Oryctolagus cuniculus: one gene and its partners. The protein of the gene in region 3 binds, or shares a complex with, the protein of the main gene of each other region. Links are inferred from orthologs where the notes say so. Each region holds a gene or a part of one and is shown on either strand. Other genes may lie near its edges.

Region 1 (4,035 bases), on a different chromosome or scaffold from region 3:
CTGCAGGGAGAGGGGGCCTCTACTTAAGTTGTTTCTTAAAAAAAAAAAAAAAAAAAAAAGTTTAATTAGGCCAGTTTAGCTTATATTATTAAGATTGGTTAAATGCAGTACAATAGTTATTTCCCCCATGTTAAAATACCCATATTTCTGCTCACTTTTATAATGACTACTTATATTCCCGTGTAAATGTATCTTGCTCATCAAATGCTTTCTCAAGGAGCCAGGTATCCAAGAGCCTCACCTCATTCTGCCCCCTTCTTTCACCACCACCATCACCACTAAGCATGTATCTTTTTCTAAACTTGAGTCAATTTAGGTTCTAGGTTACTGGGACCTAAGAATGGGCCTAACTAATTTGTCAAAGGCAGAGGTTTGTTTCAATCCTTCCTCTAAGTACAAAATATTCTCAGCAAATTTGTATCAAAAGGCTTTTGTTTTTCTAAAGTTAAGGCAACTCAATTACCTTTATTAACATTTAGTATACATTTTTAATACTGTGTAACACACTGCTTTCAAGATGGTGATATGTATGGCCTCTCGCAGCACCACAGAAGTGAACAGCCGCTTATCTACCCAGGTACTTTCTTGACACTCTATGATTAAGTTCAGTACCTATTCTTGAGGTGTTACGCTTCATTCATCACAGTTTTTGTTGGATGTGAAGTGTTGTAGCTCTTGGGACTATCCAAGTATTCATAGAAGCAAGATAGAACTAAATGTCTAAAGTGTACTGTCGTGCTGTCGGGCTTTTTAAGCATTTCTTCCTTGGCTGTATAACAAGAACTGTAAATCAATTCCCAGGGCCGAGTCACATCAACTCCCCACCTTCAAAGTATTACCTGTCAAACTGACCGAGAGAAACAAAATAAAACCAAAAGACAAGATGCTGCAATCACAAGTACTTTAATTTTTTTTTTTTAAATCACTTATTTAACAGATGGCAGGACTCTACTCTGAAGTTGAACCAAGGAAAACAAACGGAGTGGCACAGTCTCGGAGGTCAGTCCTGCACTAGGAAATCCCACTGGCTCCGTGCGCTTGGCAGGCAGCGTCTTCCGCAGGCAAAGACACCACTCTCAAAGGTGACACTCCACTGCCACAACTATTTCACTTGAGACGCTTAAACGACCCGAACAGTGTAAAGAGTTTTATTTGCAAAGACAGCATTACAGAGCACAGCTTCCACACTGCAAAGGTTGCCGGTCCCCACGAAGTATTACAGCACCCAAGAAGTCCGCGCTCCCTGGACTCCTTGAACTGTCAAGGCACTGCCCCTGCTCACTCGGCTGCACCTGCAAGGAGTGGTCGTTAAGTTACTGTCAAGCAGCCGGGGCAAACCAGAGGAAGAGGCCATCATGTTCGCGTCTGGACCCAACTCCGCCACCGAGCGAAGCCACGACTGGGATACAAGGTCCAGCCCTGAAAGCAGTCATTTAAATACAGAAACCCACTCAATTTAAGACACCCCAGCGTTAACACTCGTGTGGGTGGGTTTCCTTAAACTGAGCGGCTAAGGGGAACAAAGTCCTTGCCTCTCTGTCCAAATGTAGCGCTACCACGCTGCCCTTGCTCACACGTGGAGCGATTAAAAGGCAGGCGCAACTTCTGTTCCAAGTAAATCATCCAGAGAAAGGCTTCGGCACGGCCGCGCGGCCCCGCACACCCGCGCCCTACGCCCGTGTGCGCTCCGCTCCCGCTAACTAGCGCTGCACGAAGCCGCGTCTCCCACCAGGAGTGAAGGGGCCCGGGCCGGCACGCAGCGCCCCTCGGGCGGGCCCCGCCGGGGCTCCACGTGGGCGCCGTGCAGAGCGCCCAGCAGCGTCCCAGGCCACCGGCAAGCGAGCGTCCCCGGCTGCGCCCGCGCTGCCCGGCGCCGGCCCCGGAGCGCCACCCAGCGGCGCGCGGAGAGGCCTGCAGGCGGGGCCTCCGCGGCTCGCGGCTCCGCGGCTCGCCGCACCCCCACCGCCACCCAGCCCGCTCCCCTCGCCGGATGCACAAGGCCCAACCCAAGCACTAAGACCACAAAATGGCTGCCGGCAGCTTCGTCACGTGACCCCTTTGTGCCTTTCGGGCCCCCGAACTCCGCGGGACCCGGGTACCAGGGCCCGGGGTCGGCGGGTGGCCCGAGAGGAGGCCCCGCCGGGCCGCGGCGGCCGGGGGTCGCGGCCGGGGGCGGCGGGGGAGCGGCCCGGCCGGCGACCGAGAGTCGGCGGCGAGGAGAAGATGGCGGCCATTTTGTGTGGGTCGGCTGCTCCGCCGCCGCAGGCAGCAGTGGAGCGGGCCTGGCGGCGGGTCGGACAGGGGAGTTAACACGTACCGACTCCTCTTCCTTCTCCATTCCGGTGGGCATCTGCGGCACGGCCCGGTTTATCGAGGCGTATTCGTGCAGGTCGGGCAGATCCTCACAGCGGAACACCGGCAGCGGCTTCGAGGCGTCTAGCGCCCGCGCCCGAAACGACAGTTTACTCATCTCAGGCGCAGCAGATACCTCTCCGCTCTGGGGAAACGGCCCCGGCCAGCGGGATCATGGAGAACCGGGGGTTCGGTCCCCACTCGCCTACCGCTGCCGGGGACTGGAGGGGCGGAGCGCAGAGCCCGCCGTCCGGGCACTAACACCAGCCGGGAGGGTGGGAGGCTGTGCCGCTCCGCTCCTCTCTCGCTCGCTCTCTTCAATACGCCATGGCCAACATGGCGGACATTAAAACTCCACTGTGCGCTCTTCAGCCAACCCCAGCCATTCCCCACACTGCATCGCGCAGCGGCGCGGGCACGCGGGGGGGGGGGGGGAGCGCGGGCTCGAGGCCGGGCGCCGGCACGGAGCGCGCGTCCCGCCAACCCCCGGCGCCCGGCGCCCGGCGCTCGCGGCTCGCGGCTCGCGGCTCGGGGCCCCCGCCCGGCGCGGGCTCGGGGGCGGCCGGGGCGCTCGGACGCCGGGCGCCGGCCGGAGGCTCCCGCTGCACTTCGGGGCGCAAACGCTCACTTTCTCACGCTCGCTCCCGCCGCGCTGCCCCGCGCACTCCTCCACTCCTCCCCTCCTCCCCAGCCGGCGCCGGTACAGGGAAACTGCGCCCGCACGCCCGGGCCTGGGGAGGGCGACGCGGAGGGGACGACGGGCCGAGGCTGCGGCCCCGGGGTCACCGGGCTCGGGCACCCGCGTCACCGGGCCGGCGCACGGACGCCGCGCACCCCTGCCCGTGCGGGTCTTTAACATAGAAACGCACACGGAGTGCTGCTTGCGGTAAACTTTTACCGGCAATTATTTTTATGTCGACCGGAACTTCGGATTATAGTATTTGATAGGCTCCGCGATCAAATCGCTGGTCAGTTTCCCACCCGTGGGCAGGCATCCTATTCCACTACAAAAGTAGCTCTTAAAAATGCATGCTACATTTTATCTTATGTGTTTTACTGTGATTGAAGCAAAGGGGATTATACTGGACACCACCTTCATGAAAAAGCATTTAAATCAAGATCTACTTCAAAACCTTAACGCCAGTTATTTATATTCAGTTCACGATTTTCTGTTTGCACCGCAAGAAAAAAAAGCTGTTTTCAACATCGCCATGAGTTCTCGCTCGAATTTGTCCTCTGAAAACTTTATAAAATGGAATCATACAAAGACCTGGAGCGATCCCACCGAACCCAACGAGAAAAGCTGAACGATTGGAAGAGGTTTGGATGGAGCTGACAGACTGCCAACACCTGGTTTATATTACACACTAAAGTGGGTATCCGCTGATCCCTTTCCAGGGAGGTATTTTAAAAATCAGAAAGATTGTTGCAGTGGGTTTTGTAAGTGTGACAGCAAGATTTCACTCGTATGCCAAGATGCAAACATGTTTTCTAAGTCTGCCTTTCTCGCCGGGGGCTACATAATAAAAAATAATCGCTATTCCCAAATACTGGGTTTGGGATGAACTGTTATTAGCTTACGGGGCATAGGGGAACTGCTATCTTCCAGGCTGGTTTAGCTGCCCTCCACTAGGTGGGCAGAAGACAAGGGGAGCGGAAACCACAATTCTCTGCAGTCACCCT
Region 2 (3,983 bases), on a different chromosome or scaffold from region 3:
AAAGTGGAGACTGAGATACCAAGATCAGTGACTTTTCCAACAGCTTAGGGGTACAGATAAACTACACTGCTAACAAACAACAGCACCAAAGAGCTGATCTGTGAGCTCCCTGGTTCCACTTCCATGTACATTTTTAAGGTACCGCGAAAATGGCTTAATCTCTCCTCTCTTCTTTTCTTGATGGCTGCTGCCAAAAACTACCCTAAGGCTGATACCTTCTGACCTCCATTCTAGCTACCTGACCCTAGTATTCTGTTGAAATACCAGCTAGCTTAAGAGCATGACCCTGGATAACAAATCGTTGATTTTTCGCTGAAGTAGAAGAGCAGTAATTTGGAAACAGCAGGCCACCATATTTGGTAGGTTTTTCACACTATTCTCCACCATTAATCCTTTCTAGTCCCAAGGCGAATTCTGCTCAATGTTTTCAAATTCAAGATTAATGACAGTCCCGAGTTCCCATCCTCCCACTGGTTGTGCTCATTAAAAGCCACCATCAGCCAATTTCTTAATTCCTGACAGAACTGTCTCCCCTCAAAGGGGATAATGTCCAAGTGTCCGTTGCCCTGCGCTTTAACAGCTGCAAGTGGCCCAAGCCTGCGCGTTCATCATGCCTGAACACTGCTCGCTGCATTTTCATCTGCTTTGTGCTGACATTCTGTACCATGAGTAAACCTGGGTTCACACTACTCAGAAAAAAATCAAATTCTGGCAATTCCTACTTTTACCCATCACATTACATTCTCTTCTATAATGTTTCAATTCGGGTAGCACTGAACAAACATTTCTTCTTCCTTAACACGATATTCTCTGAATATTTTAGTTTTACAAAGAAAACTGTTAAATTCAGGTGTGAAGCAACAGAAAACTACCCAGCAAGCGCGGAGACCGCACCTGGGTACCTCGGTTCCATGTTCCTTCCTAGTATCACCCCACTCTACCATTCCTGTGGTTTAGAACCGAAACACGGGGGGAGGGGCAAGTGGCACAATGGGTAAAGCTGCGGCCTTCATGCTGTTCCACTTCCAAACCAGCTCCCTGCTATGGCACCTGGGAAAGCAGAAGATGGCCCAAGTGCCTGGGCCCCACACAACGTGGGAGACCCAGATGAAGCGCCTGGCCTGGGCTGGTGGGGCCATCTAGCGAGTGCACCAGCTCCATAACTCTTAAAAAAAAAAAAAAAAAAAGTGCTGCAGAGTTGTTCCTACATCGGAGCCTATAGTTTTTTCCATTTCTACAAACACGTAAAACAGGGTCTGTATCTTCCACACAAAGCTGGGATATAAAAAGTACACTGCTACAACGAGGCGTTCAGCTGTTGAGGGAGAGCGTTTCCATTAATATCCGCAATAGCTAGTTTCAGCCTTGATAGAAAAAAGTTTTGTGCCCCGCCAGGCTCACGGGCTTTCTGAACGACATCCATCGACCCCTGTTCTGAACACCTAGCAAAATCACGACTCCAGAGGACACAGCCACAGGCATCCCGGCGGGAGGCGGGAGGCGCTCATCACCCACAGTACCCCGGGACCCCGGGAGAGCCCTCTCACATCCCACTGAAGTCACGGCACACTGGGGCTCCGTCTTTAAAGTTCTCCTAGCTGCACGCATTCAACCTGAAAAGCCCCCACACAGGCCGCGCGCACGTCGGACAGGGCATCGGAGGTACTCAGCACCCATCTCCCTGGCACGAAAGGAAATGGGCAGTTCCTCCTCGCCCAGACCTCACCGGCCCGCGACCCGCGCAAACACAGACAGCCTCATACACACTCCACGGGCGCCGAAGGCCAGGGCCGCCATTCGCCCAAGTCGGCCGAAACGCTCGCCCATAAAAAAAAAAAAAAAAAAATCAATACAAATTCTCCGTCGAGTCACTTCATCAGGTTTTATGGCCGCGGGTCACCCACAGTCCGCGGCCGCACCAAAGCCCGTTTCTCTGCGCGGCACACGAGCCGCCGCACGGCGCACGCGCACCCCGGGCCCCGCCCCTGGGCGGAGCCAGCGATGCCCGCAGGCCACACAAAGCCGCCCCGAGCGCCCAGCTCGCTCCGGTCTTGTTTTTCTCCCCCTCCGCGCCCCCCACCCGCCGCTCCGAGGTGAGCGCGGGGCTCGGGCCTCCCCGCGCGGACGCCGAGCCAGGGGGCGCTGCGCCCGCCCCGCACCGGGGCCGCGGCCCACGCCGACGCCGGCGGCCATCTTGCGGCGGCCATTTTACAACGCAGTTCTCCCGCCCCGGGGCGCCGCGCCCATCCCCCACCCGCACCCCCACACCCCCCTCAGCCGCAGCTCCGCGTCCCGGCCCAACGCCGACCACCCCGGGGCTGCCGGCGGCCACGCTCCGCCGGCCGGTTCCCGCCACCGCGGCCGCGGGCCCGTCGCCCGCGCCGCCGCCGCCGCCTCCCCCACGCCACATCACTTCCCCTAACGGCCGCCATGGCGCGCCGCCGCCCCACAATGGGCTGCCTCGCCCGCGCCCTCCTCCTCCAAACAATAACAAACGCTCGGCCGAGGCTCTGCCCCGCGCCGGGCGCGCCTCCCGCCGCCCCGACGCCCGCCTCGGCGCCTCCGCCGCACAAAGCCCTTCCCCTCGGGCCGCCCGGGGCCACCGTGCGCAATGCGCTTCCCCGCACAAAGCTCAGCCCCCCGCCCCGGCCCGCGGGCCGCCACCACCCCGCGCCGCCTGCCTCCCCGGGCCGTTAGGCGCCTTCCCCTCAAAGGCGCACACTTACCCTCCTGGAATTTAGGCTTTGGGTCCTGCTTGGGCGCCATTTATAAGTGATTCGCCGCCTCCTCCTTCTCCCACCACCCCCGACTACCGCCCCCTACTCTCTACCCCACCCAACTCAGCGTCAGACGCGCCGTCAGGAACCGCCGGCTCTACATCCTGGGCCCGATTTGCCAGCGTCCGCACACCTCACCGCCCCGCGACCCGCGCAGGCGTCGCGCCAGCCAACTGCCGGCCGCCGCGCACGCGCCGCTGCGCCCGCGCCGCCGCGGGGCATGCCGGGACTTGTAGTTCCGGCGGGGCGGGCGCCGCCGCGGGGCGGGGGCGGGAACGAGGCGCCCCTCCCCCACCCGGCGTGGGCGCCCGCGCGCCGTCGGCGCGGGTGGCTCACGGCTGGGGCTGGTTTTGTGGGTTGTGAGAGCTGGGATTGCGGTTCGGGGGGCCAGCCGCGGGGGAAGAGTGGGAATCGCACTGCTTGCGGAGTTCCCCTCAGCAAAGCCAAGGCCGCAAAGATGAGGGGTACCCGGGGCTCGGGAAATGGTCGACGTCTGGAAGCTTCCTGGTGGGGCAGGGTCGTGGCCGGCTTGTTGGGTGGACGGGACCGAGGGCCATTGTTGGACTCCCGTTTCTACCTTCGCTGCTCGCCGGGCCGCGGCCTGCGGAACTAAGGAGGGAGACGCAGGGCGGGGGTGGGGGGCTGGTGGTCTTGGGCGGAGCGCTTAGCCAAGCGCTTAGCCGGGGGCTCAGGTCCCCGCAGCGGCCCCCAGCCCACCCGCCGTGCAAGGTTTGCAAATCCTCCGCGCGCCAATTCTGGACGCAGCGCCATTGCTGTGACTCCAGCCTCCATGTAACAGCCCCTGCTTTTACCTGCGACAACCCAGAAGGTGTCTTCCTCGTTCGCTCTGAACCAACACCAGCTCAGCTTTCCTCCACTGCCCCTGAGGGCACGGACGGAAGCAGCGAGGGCTCTCCATGGCCCCAGCCCCACCAAAACTAGACCCTATAGGACTTTTTAAAAAACATTGTTTACAATATAAAGTACTTATATATTGGGGTTTTTTTAAAGATTTATTTATTTGAAAGGCAGAGTTAGAGAGGTGGAGAGAGAGAGAGAGAGCTTCCACCCGCTGGTTCCCTCCCCAATTGGCCACAACAGCCAAGAGCTGGACTGATCCGAAGCCAGGAGCCAGGAGCTTCTTCCAGGTCTCCCACGTGGGTGCAGGGGCCCAAGCACTTGGGCCATCTTCTACTGCTTTCCCAG
Region 3 (4,123 bases):
AGGCTTGAGTCCCATCTGCTTCCAATTCCAATGTCCTGCTAATGTGCGCCCAGGGAGGCTGCAGGTGGTGACTCAAGGAGTCACCCAGGAGAGACTAGGACTGAGTTCTGCCTCCAGGCTTCAGCCTGCCTTTAACCTGATGGAAAATCTCTCTGCCTGCCACTCTGTCTTCCAAATAAACGTAAAAAAAAAAAATTCTACCTAAGGCCCGCGCTGTGGCGCAGCGGGTTAACACCCTGGCCTGAAGCGCTGGCAGCCCATATAGGCACCAGTTCTAGTCCTGGCTGTTCCTCTTCTGATCCAGCTCTCTTCTATGGCCTGGAATAGCAGTGGAAGATGGCCCAAGTCTTTGGGACCCTGCACCTACGTGGGGAACCCAGAAGAGGCTCCTGGCTCCTGGCTTCGGATCAGCGCAGTTCCAGTCCTTGCAGCCATCTGGGGAGTGAATGAACCAGCAGATGGAGGACCTCCCTCTCTCTCTCTGCGTAACTCTTTCAAATAAATAAGTAAATTTTTTAAAAAATTCTACTTAAATTTTTAAAAATTTCCAAAATTTGAAAAGAATCATTTTTTTAACATTTTACTTATATGGGGGTTAGCACTGTAGCGTAGCAGGTTAAGTGGGTGCTGGCATCCCATATGGGCACCGGTTTCTGTCCCAGTTCCTCCACTTCCAATCCAGCTCCCTGCTGATGTGCCTGGAAGGGCAGCCGAAGACGGCCCAAATGCTTGGGGCCCTTGCAACACGCAGGGGACCTGGATGGAATTCCTGGCTCCTGGCTTCAGATCAGTCCAGCCCCAGCTGTTGCACCATTTGGGGAGTGAACCAGCATATGAAAGATCTCTGTCACTCTGCCTTTCAAATAAATGAAATATTTTTTTAAAAGATTTATTTATTTGAAAGGCAGAGTAACAGAAAGGGAGAGACAAAGAAAGAGAGGTCTTCCATCCGTGGTTCACTCCCCAAATGCCCACAACAGCCAGGGCTGGGCCAGGCCAAAATCAAAAGCCTGGAACTCTACCTGGTCTCCCACACGGTTGGCAGGGACCCAACCTTGTGGGCCATCTTCCACCGCCTTCCTAGCACATCAGCAGGGAGCTGGATTGAAAACAGAACAGCTGGGATTAGAACTGGCTCTCTTAAACAGGATGCTGACGTCACAGGTTGCAGTTTAACCCCCTGTGCCACACAGCCAGTCCCAAAGAATAACACTGTAGTACAGTAGCCACACAGGTATGGCAAAACTTCCAAGGGTTGAACTCAAGACTGATCAAAATGTGGAAAACACTACCAGAGCTGTGCAGACTGTCACACGCCGTACTCCATCCAAGCCTTACACAGCTCTTGGGCAGGGCCAGACTCCCCCTGTTCTACTCGGGGAGGCAGGGGCGGACCCTCAGTGCCAGCTCAAGCCCAGACCTCCCTGCACACCACCACCTGACGGCTGCTGCCTCCCCGGCCCCATGGCTGTCAACAACACACAATCCCACAAATGGGTATTTCGAGAGCACAACCTTTGGAAACTCACTTTTGGTTGGTTAGATAGCGGTCCCAGCCACGAATGATATTGCCATACATCTGAGTGTCTTCCAGGTAGCTTCCTTCAAAAGCATAGATCTGTCTCTCCAAGTTGGCCAGAGTTTCCTGGGAGACGACAAGCCAGGCCGGGGATTAGCTGTGCCCACACTGAAAGCCTGACCCTGGGCTTATCATAAACCCAAACTCACCCACATTAAACTACCTTCGTGGAGGGCTGGAGGACTCCAGGAACGGTAGGCCATTCAAGTCCAAGAGTCTGGATCTTTCGGGGTGATGGCCCGACCCCTTTGGGAACAGAACGGACTCCACAGAGCCTGTCCCCAGGTAAACGCCCACACGTGCGGAATTCTGCACAGGGCTCTCGGAAACCCAAGTGTCAAGAACCGGGCCGAGGCAGAACAGGGGCAGGCTCCACGCCCACGCACAAAGGGGACCGCCACCAGGCGCGGAATGAGCGAGGCACTGGGCACTGCCCTCCCAAGGGCTCGGCGAGGCCGCCGGCCCCGGGCTGCCCGTTGTCATGGAAACCTGGAAGGGCGGCAGCAGGTGCGCCCAAACGCGGGGTGCACGTCACGGCTCCCAGTTTCCCAACCCGGTCCTCGTCCCCCGCCTGTCACCTTCTGGAAAGATCACACCCCTGCCCATCCCAGACACCCTCCCACGGATGGGCTCCTAGGACCAAAAGGGACCTACCCCCCCACCATCCTCTCAGAGACCAGACCGGCTCCCACACTCGGCTCATCCCCAAAGCCCACCCGCAGGCCGGGACCCGCCTCCGCCCGCGCCCACCCGCACGACCCACGACACCCGCCCTCTCAGGCGCCCGCACGCACACGCCCCGGCCCGCGGCGCCCTTCCTCCTCCGCGCCGCCGAGGCCCGCTCCCCGCCCCCTCCGGGCTCCGGCCGCCGCTCCGCCTCCGCACCGCCGGAAACGGCGCTCGGCGGCACGCGCCCCGGCCCAGGCCGCCGGACTCCCGGGCCGCGCGCGGCGTCCCCGGAGTAACCGACGGCCTGGTGCGGCCGGGCTGGCGGTCGGCGGCCGGGCGAGCGCGGGGCCCCACGCCGGAGCCCCGGGTCCCAGCCGCTCACCGCCAGCTCCTGCTTCCGCTTCACGAGCTCGGCAAGCTCCCGCCGGGTGTCCGGGATCTGCGGCGGCGCCGCCTTGTTGTGCATCGCCATGTTGGGCTGAGGCGGGCAGCAGCGGCGGGCGGCTGGGGGCGGGCCCTGCGATCCGCTGCCGACCGCCAGGGGGCGCCCGCTGCACTGCGCCTGCGCGAGCGGCTTCCGGAGACGCGCGCCGCCGGGCGCCGCGCTTGGGCGGGGCGCTGGGAAACCCTGCCCCGGGGATGGATCCGGCAGGTGGGGCTGCCGCACCTGCTGGGATCTGCCTTTCCGCACTAGGATTGGCCGGCGAGCTTTAGGGGCACCGCGGGCTCACAGTGTCCAAAGCCAGGCTCGTGCTTAGAGTTCCTAGTCATTCCCCTGGGGAATGACTTCACTGCCACCGAGGGGCCCGAGTCAGAGCCTGAGGGTTATCCTCACTCCACCCACCCTGGGTGAAGCTCCTGGCTCCTGCTTGGCTTGGCCCAGCCATGGCCATTGCAGCCGTTTGCGGAGTGAAGCAGCGTTTGGAAGACCTCTCTCTCTGTAACTCTGCCTTTCAAATAATTTTTTTTAAAGAATCCTTTATTTGGGGGTGGGCATTTGGCTCAGGAGTTAAGCGCCAGCTTGAGATGCTGGCGTCCCATATCGAAGGGCCCCAGTTTCAGTCCTGGGTATGTTGATTCCAGCTTCCTGCTAACCTGCACCCTGGGAGGCAGAAGGGGATGTCATGGGATCCTGCCACCCAGTTGGGAAACCTGGGTTAGGTTCTAGGCTCCTGGTTTGGGCTTGGCCCAGCCCCAGCTGTTGTGGGCATTTGGGGAGTGAAGCAGCCAATGGAAGCTCTCTGCCTCTCTCTCTGCCTTTCAAGTAAAGAAAGAAACGTCTTTAATCCTTTAAGTTTTACTATCTATATTCTCCATCTTGTCTATCTGCTAATTTCTGGAAATTTCTTTTCGTGTATAGATTTAGTAACCTGGGATCTTGCCAAGCTCCCTTATTAATTTTAGGAAGGGTTTTCTAGTCCAGATTCCTTGGAATTTTTTCTGTGACAATCATTTTATTTGCAAATAGGGAATTGTTTTATATTGTTACTCCTTCCCAATATGTATACTGTTTTTAAAATATTACTTTTTAAAGGCTTATTTTATTTATTTGAAAGGCAGAGTTAGAGAGGGAGAGAGACAGAGACAGAGACTATGAGATTGAGCGATCTTCCATCCACTAGTTCAATCCCCAAATGACCACAACATGACCATCCAGCCAGGCTGGATGAGGCTAAACCCATAGAAGTCTCCCAGATCGGTAGCAGGGGCCCAAGGACTTGGGCCATCCCCAGCTGCTTTCCTGGGCACACTTGCAGGAAGCTGGACTGGAAACGGAGTAGCTGAACTCCAGCCTGCACTCTGATACGACATGTGGGCATCCCTGGGAGTACCTTAAGCTGCTGTGGCACAACACCAGCCCTGAGTGCTCTTTAC
Region 4 (4,143 bases), on a different chromosome or scaffold from region 3:
TCCACGATGCGCACCCTGGGCTCGGGCAGCGCGCTGGCGGAGGTCGGCGTGCCGTGGGTGCTGCCGGGGAGGGCTTCATTCTTCTTCTTGACTCTGTTGTTTTTGTGACGCTTAGTTCTTAAGCAAACAGGCGGCCTCTCCCGGTTCTCCTTGTTGCTGTTGCACTCACTCATCTCCTGCGCGGTGAGGTCATCTTCTAAGATGATCTCCAGGGGATCAAAGATACTGATCCTGTGCAAACGCCCTTCAATCTCTATCTCGACCATCCTCTGAGCCTGAGCGTACGTGAGCGTCTCTCGCGTGGGGGAGTGTTTAACACTGCACGGGGAGGAGGGGTGCCTCGCTGCAGAGCCTCGATGGCATCGCCCTTTCCTCCTCATTTGGTAATGATTACCTAGAACAAAACCACACCGAGGTTAGTCCCAGGCAGAGCACCAAAGCCACGAGAGAAAACCACGAAAGCACCTCGGGCAGAGCTAGCCATCAACTCAACCCTCAGTCAAAAGCAAACGCACAGCTCTCGGATTGCTGAGACTTCAAACCGCTCATCCCGAAACTCACGGCCACGTTCAATAACCCTGCAACGGTGCCTCCTCCCCAGGCCACAGGGTAACTGCCAGGACAGAGGAGCCAGCCGTGGAACCAGGAAGGGAGGCAGCGTGGAGGGGCAGCCCCCGAGGGCTCCTGCCAACTGGCCCAAGCCCCCTCCGGAGCTCTGGGATTCCCAGCATTTGCTGGCTAAAGCCAGCAGGTGTGACCCCGACCCTCACCTCTGCCCACAGGTGTAGTGTCGGGCTGACTGGCTGGTGTGCAGCTGGTCCCCCATTAGACCATGCACAGGGCTAACCCATAGTCCAGGTGGGCACTGGGTCCCAACACTCTGCCTGCACTGCCCTCTGTGCTGCCCACTGCTGCCCCCAAGCGCCTCCACCAGCCCAAGTGCACCTGCTCCCCGTGTGGCACCCCTGCTGGGGGCTGGGAGCTTCCAGGGTCCAACAACATAACGAGGCAGGAGACAAACCAGGGCCTGTCCACCCTCTCCGTAATCTGTCCCCACGTGCGCTGAGGCCAGACACAGCAGCCACTCCAGGACTCGAGGGGAGCTGTGCACTGCTCTGGGGGGTGTCCCCATGCCCGGAGGGCCCCAATCAACTGTGCAAACCTCAGCAGTGACACTGTGGAAACCAGTGGGGCCAGTTAACCCGCCCCAGCCTCAGGGGCATTTCTCAGCCCAGCCTGACCGCTGCGCTGGCCTCCACGTGCTAGGCAACACCAGGGGAGGAGACGCTCTGCTGCCGCCCCACGGAGCACCTGCACCGCCCAGAGGGTCCCCTGCACGGGTCCAGGTGCCTCAAACCTGCCCACCAGGCCTCAAGAGAACCCGCTCTCCTCGGGGAGGGGGACCAGCGAGCTCCCAGCGCACACTTCCCCCACGGCCCGCACTCACAGCCTGGCAGTGAGCGAGCTGCACCTCTGGGAGGGCCGGCCAACAGCAGGCTCCGCCATCACTCCGGAAGGGCATCCCAGCAAACCCCAAACGCAGACCCCTCGCCCGCGGGGTCTTCCTCCAGCCAGGGGTCGGCCACGCCCCAACTCACCCGCCGCGGGGCCTCCCGGCGCCGCCCCTCGGACCCCGGCCCCGACGGGCAGGGCCCGCTCCTCCTGTCATTACCGAGGTGCGGCCCGAGCAACAGTTGGTTCCAACCAAACCGGCAATTGTCTCGCAGCGGCGCCCAGCGCTCCGGCTGCGACCCGGCCTCCCACACCCACGCGGCCCGCGTCCGGCCGCGTCTGCGAGGAGCGCTTCCCCGCACGTGGCCCCGGGCTCTGCGCACACCCGCGGCTGCGGGAACCAGTGCGGGAAACACAGCCGAGCAACGGGCGGCCGCGGCGGCGCCGGGACCCGCACACCCGGCCCGGCGCGAGCCGGTACCCCGTGTCCGCACCGGACCCCGCGGAGCCCCGCGCCGCGCGCGCCCCGCGGCCGGACCCCACGGAAAGTTTCTTCTCCCGCCCACGCCGCGCGCGCCGGGCCCCGCGACGCCCGGCAGGGTGCGGGCCGACGCCGCGCGGGGCGAGGCCGCCCGGGAGCTCCCGTGCCCGCAGGCGAGCCGGGCCGCTCGGTTACATAACGCGCCCCGCCGGCAGCCCCGGCCCGGCGCGGACTCCGGGCGGGACCCTCGCCCGTGCGCAGCGGCCGCCCGCCCGCCCGCCCCGGGCCCCGACTCCCGGCCTCCGCGGCCTCCCCGGCCCGGCGGCCCCCGCCCGGCGCGCCCGGCCCGGCCGGCCCGACAGCCCCGGCCTCCCGCGCCCCGCCGCCGCCGCCCCGGCCGCCCGGCCGCCCGCCCGCGGACAATGCGGAGCCGCCGCCGTCGCAAACATGGCGCCCGCACCCCCACCCCGAGAGGCCGGGCCGAGGCGGCGGCGGGCCCGCGAGGCCCCGGGGAGCCCTCCCGGCCGCCCCCGCCCACTCACCTCCGGGGCGCCGCGGCCGCGGGAGCCCGGCGGGCGGGCGGCGGGCACGGGACCGGCGCGGCCGAGGCGGCGCTAATGGCGCCCGCGGCTCCTCCGCCAACGGCCGCGCAGGCCGGGCCCCGCCGCCGCTCAGGGCGCGGGCGAATGGCCGCGGCGGCTGCGGGCCCGGCGGGGCGGCCGCGGGCGCGGGCGCGGCTCGCGCGGCGCCGGCTGGGCCCGGCTGGAGGCCCGGCGCGGGGCCCGGCCGGCGGGCGCGGGGACGGGGCGGGGACGAGCGCGGGTCGGGCGCGGGGCTGCTCGGACGCCCGGGCCGGCCGCTCGCTCCCCAGCGAAGCAAACAATGCGGCGAGCGCTCCGCCCGGCGCCTGCGTGCGAGGCGCGCCCCGCCCGCCGCCGCCGTGACGCGGCCCGCGCGGCGCCGGGGGCGGGGCCGGGGCGGGGCGGGGCGGGGCGGGGGCGGGGCCGCGGCTGCGGCTGCGGCTGCGGGGCGGTGGGGGCCGCGTCACGGCGGCGGCGGGCGGGGGTCGGGGTCCTGAGGGGGCTCGGGGACCGGGAGGAAGGGTCCTGAGGGGGATCGGGGACCGGGAGGAAGGGTCCTGAGGGGGCTCGGGGACCGGGAGGAAGGGCCCTGAGGGGGATCGGGGACCGGGAGGAAGGGTCCTGAGGGGGCTCGGGGACCGGGAGGAAGGGTCCTGAGGGGGATCGGGGACCGGGAGGAAGGGTCCTGAGGGGGATCGGGGACCCGGGGGTCGGGGTCCTGAGGGGGATCGGGGACCGGGAGGAAGGGTCCTGAGGGGGATCGGGGACCGGGAGGAAGGGTCCTGAGGGGGATCGGGGACCCGGGGGCGGGGTCCTGAGGGGGATCGGGGACTGGGAGGAAGCGTTCTGAGGGGGATCCCGGGACCGGGGTCGGGGTCCTGAGGAAATCCAGTCAGTGTTCGGGGCCAGGGGTGGAGATCCTGGGACCAGGGGTCGGCGTGCTGAGGGGTTCATGGACCGGGTCAGGGTCTGAGGAAATCCAGTCAGTGTTTGGGGACTGAGGGTGGAGGCCCTGGGACCAGGGGTCGGGTCCTGAGGGGGCTCAGAAGCCGAGAAGGGTCCTGAGGGGGATTCCGGGACCCAGTGTCAGGGTCTTGAGGGGTTCTCGGACCAGGGTTCGGGGTCCTGAGGGAAGCCGCAGACGAGGGGTCAGCGTCCTGAGGGTTTCTCAGACCGGGGGTCGGGGTCCTGAGGGGGATCCCAGGACCGGGGTTGGGGTCAAATCCAGTCAGTGTTCGCAGTCCTGAAGTGGAGTGGGGGTGGAGACCCTGGGACCAGGGGTCGGGGTTCTGAGGGGGATCTGGACTGAGGGTCGGGGTCCTGAGGGGTTCTCGGACCAGGGGTCGGGGTCCTGAGGAAATCCAGTCAGTGTTCGGATTGAGGGTGGAGATCCTGTGACCAGGGGTCGGAGTCCTAAGGGGTTCACGGGGGTCAGGGTGCTGAGGGAAGCCACGGACGAGGGGTCAGCGTCCTGAGGGGTTCTGGGACCGGGGGTCGGGGTCCCGAGGGGGATCTCGGGACCCGGGGTTGGGGTCAAATCCAGTCAGTGTTCGCGGTCCTGAAGTGGTTCAGGGACCAGGGTGGAGGTTCTGAGGGAGATCCGGGAACCGGAAGTCGGGGTCCTGAAGG

Evidence for each region. The genes of interacting proteins can lie anywhere in the genome.
Region 1: MEAF6 (region 3) and EPC1 share a complex: the UniProt entries of both Homo sapiens proteins name them as parts of the nuA4 histone acetyltransferase complex. The link is inferred for Oryctolagus cuniculus from reciprocal best matches to the Homo sapiens genes MEAF6 and EPC1.
Region 2: MEAF6 (region 3) and MORF4L1 share a complex: the UniProt entries of both Homo sapiens proteins name them as parts of the nuA4 histone acetyltransferase complex. The link is inferred for Oryctolagus cuniculus from reciprocal best matches to the Homo sapiens genes MEAF6 and MORF4L1.
Region 4: MEAF6 (region 3) and BRD1 share a complex: the UniProt entries of both Homo sapiens proteins name them as parts of the MOZ/MORF complex. The link is inferred for Oryctolagus cuniculus from reciprocal best matches to the Homo sapiens genes MEAF6 and BRD1.

Annotation. Positions count from the first base shown.
Region 1 is NC_091444.1:102,740,375-102,744,409, forward strand, and holds the start of EPC1 (enhancer of polycomb homolog 1), read right to left. Parts: upstream 2,801-4,035; 5' UTR 2,471-2,800; coding exon 2,318-2,470; intron 1,146-2,317; exon of another isoform or gene 1-1,145. UniProt on the Homo sapiens protein: Component of the NuA4 histone acetyltransferase (HAT) complex, a multiprotein complex involved in transcriptional activation of select genes principally by acetylation of nucleosomal histones H4 and H2A.
Region 2 is NC_091443.1:105,842,929-105,846,911, forward strand, and holds the start of MORF4L1 (mortality factor 4-like protein 1), read right to left. Parts: upstream 2,801-3,983; 5' UTR 2,767-2,800; coding exon 2,727-2,766; intron 1-2,726. UniProt on the Homo sapiens protein: Component of the NuA4 histone acetyltransferase (HAT) complex which is involved in transcriptional activation of select genes principally by acetylation of nucleosomal histones H4 and H2A.
Region 3 is NC_091438.1:135,241,569-135,245,691, reverse strand, and holds the start of MEAF6 (chromatin modification-related protein MEAF6), read right to left. Parts: upstream 2,801-4,123; 5' UTR 2,721-2,800; coding exon 2,631-2,720; intron 2,069-2,630; exon of another isoform or gene 1,783-2,068; coding exon of another isoform or gene 1,729-1,782; intron 1,646-1,728; coding exon 1,530-1,645; intron 1-1,529.
Region 4 is NC_091442.1:122,871,329-122,875,471, forward strand, and holds the start of BRD1 (bromodomain-containing protein 1), read right to left. Parts: upstream 2,801-4,143; 5' UTR 2,476-2,800; intron 2,121-2,475; exon of another isoform or gene 1,599-2,120; intron 395-1,598; 5' UTR 381-394; coding exon 1-380. UniProt on the Homo sapiens protein: Scaffold subunit of various histone acetyltransferase (HAT) complexes, such as the MOZ/MORF and HBO1 complexes, that acts as a regulator of hematopoiesis.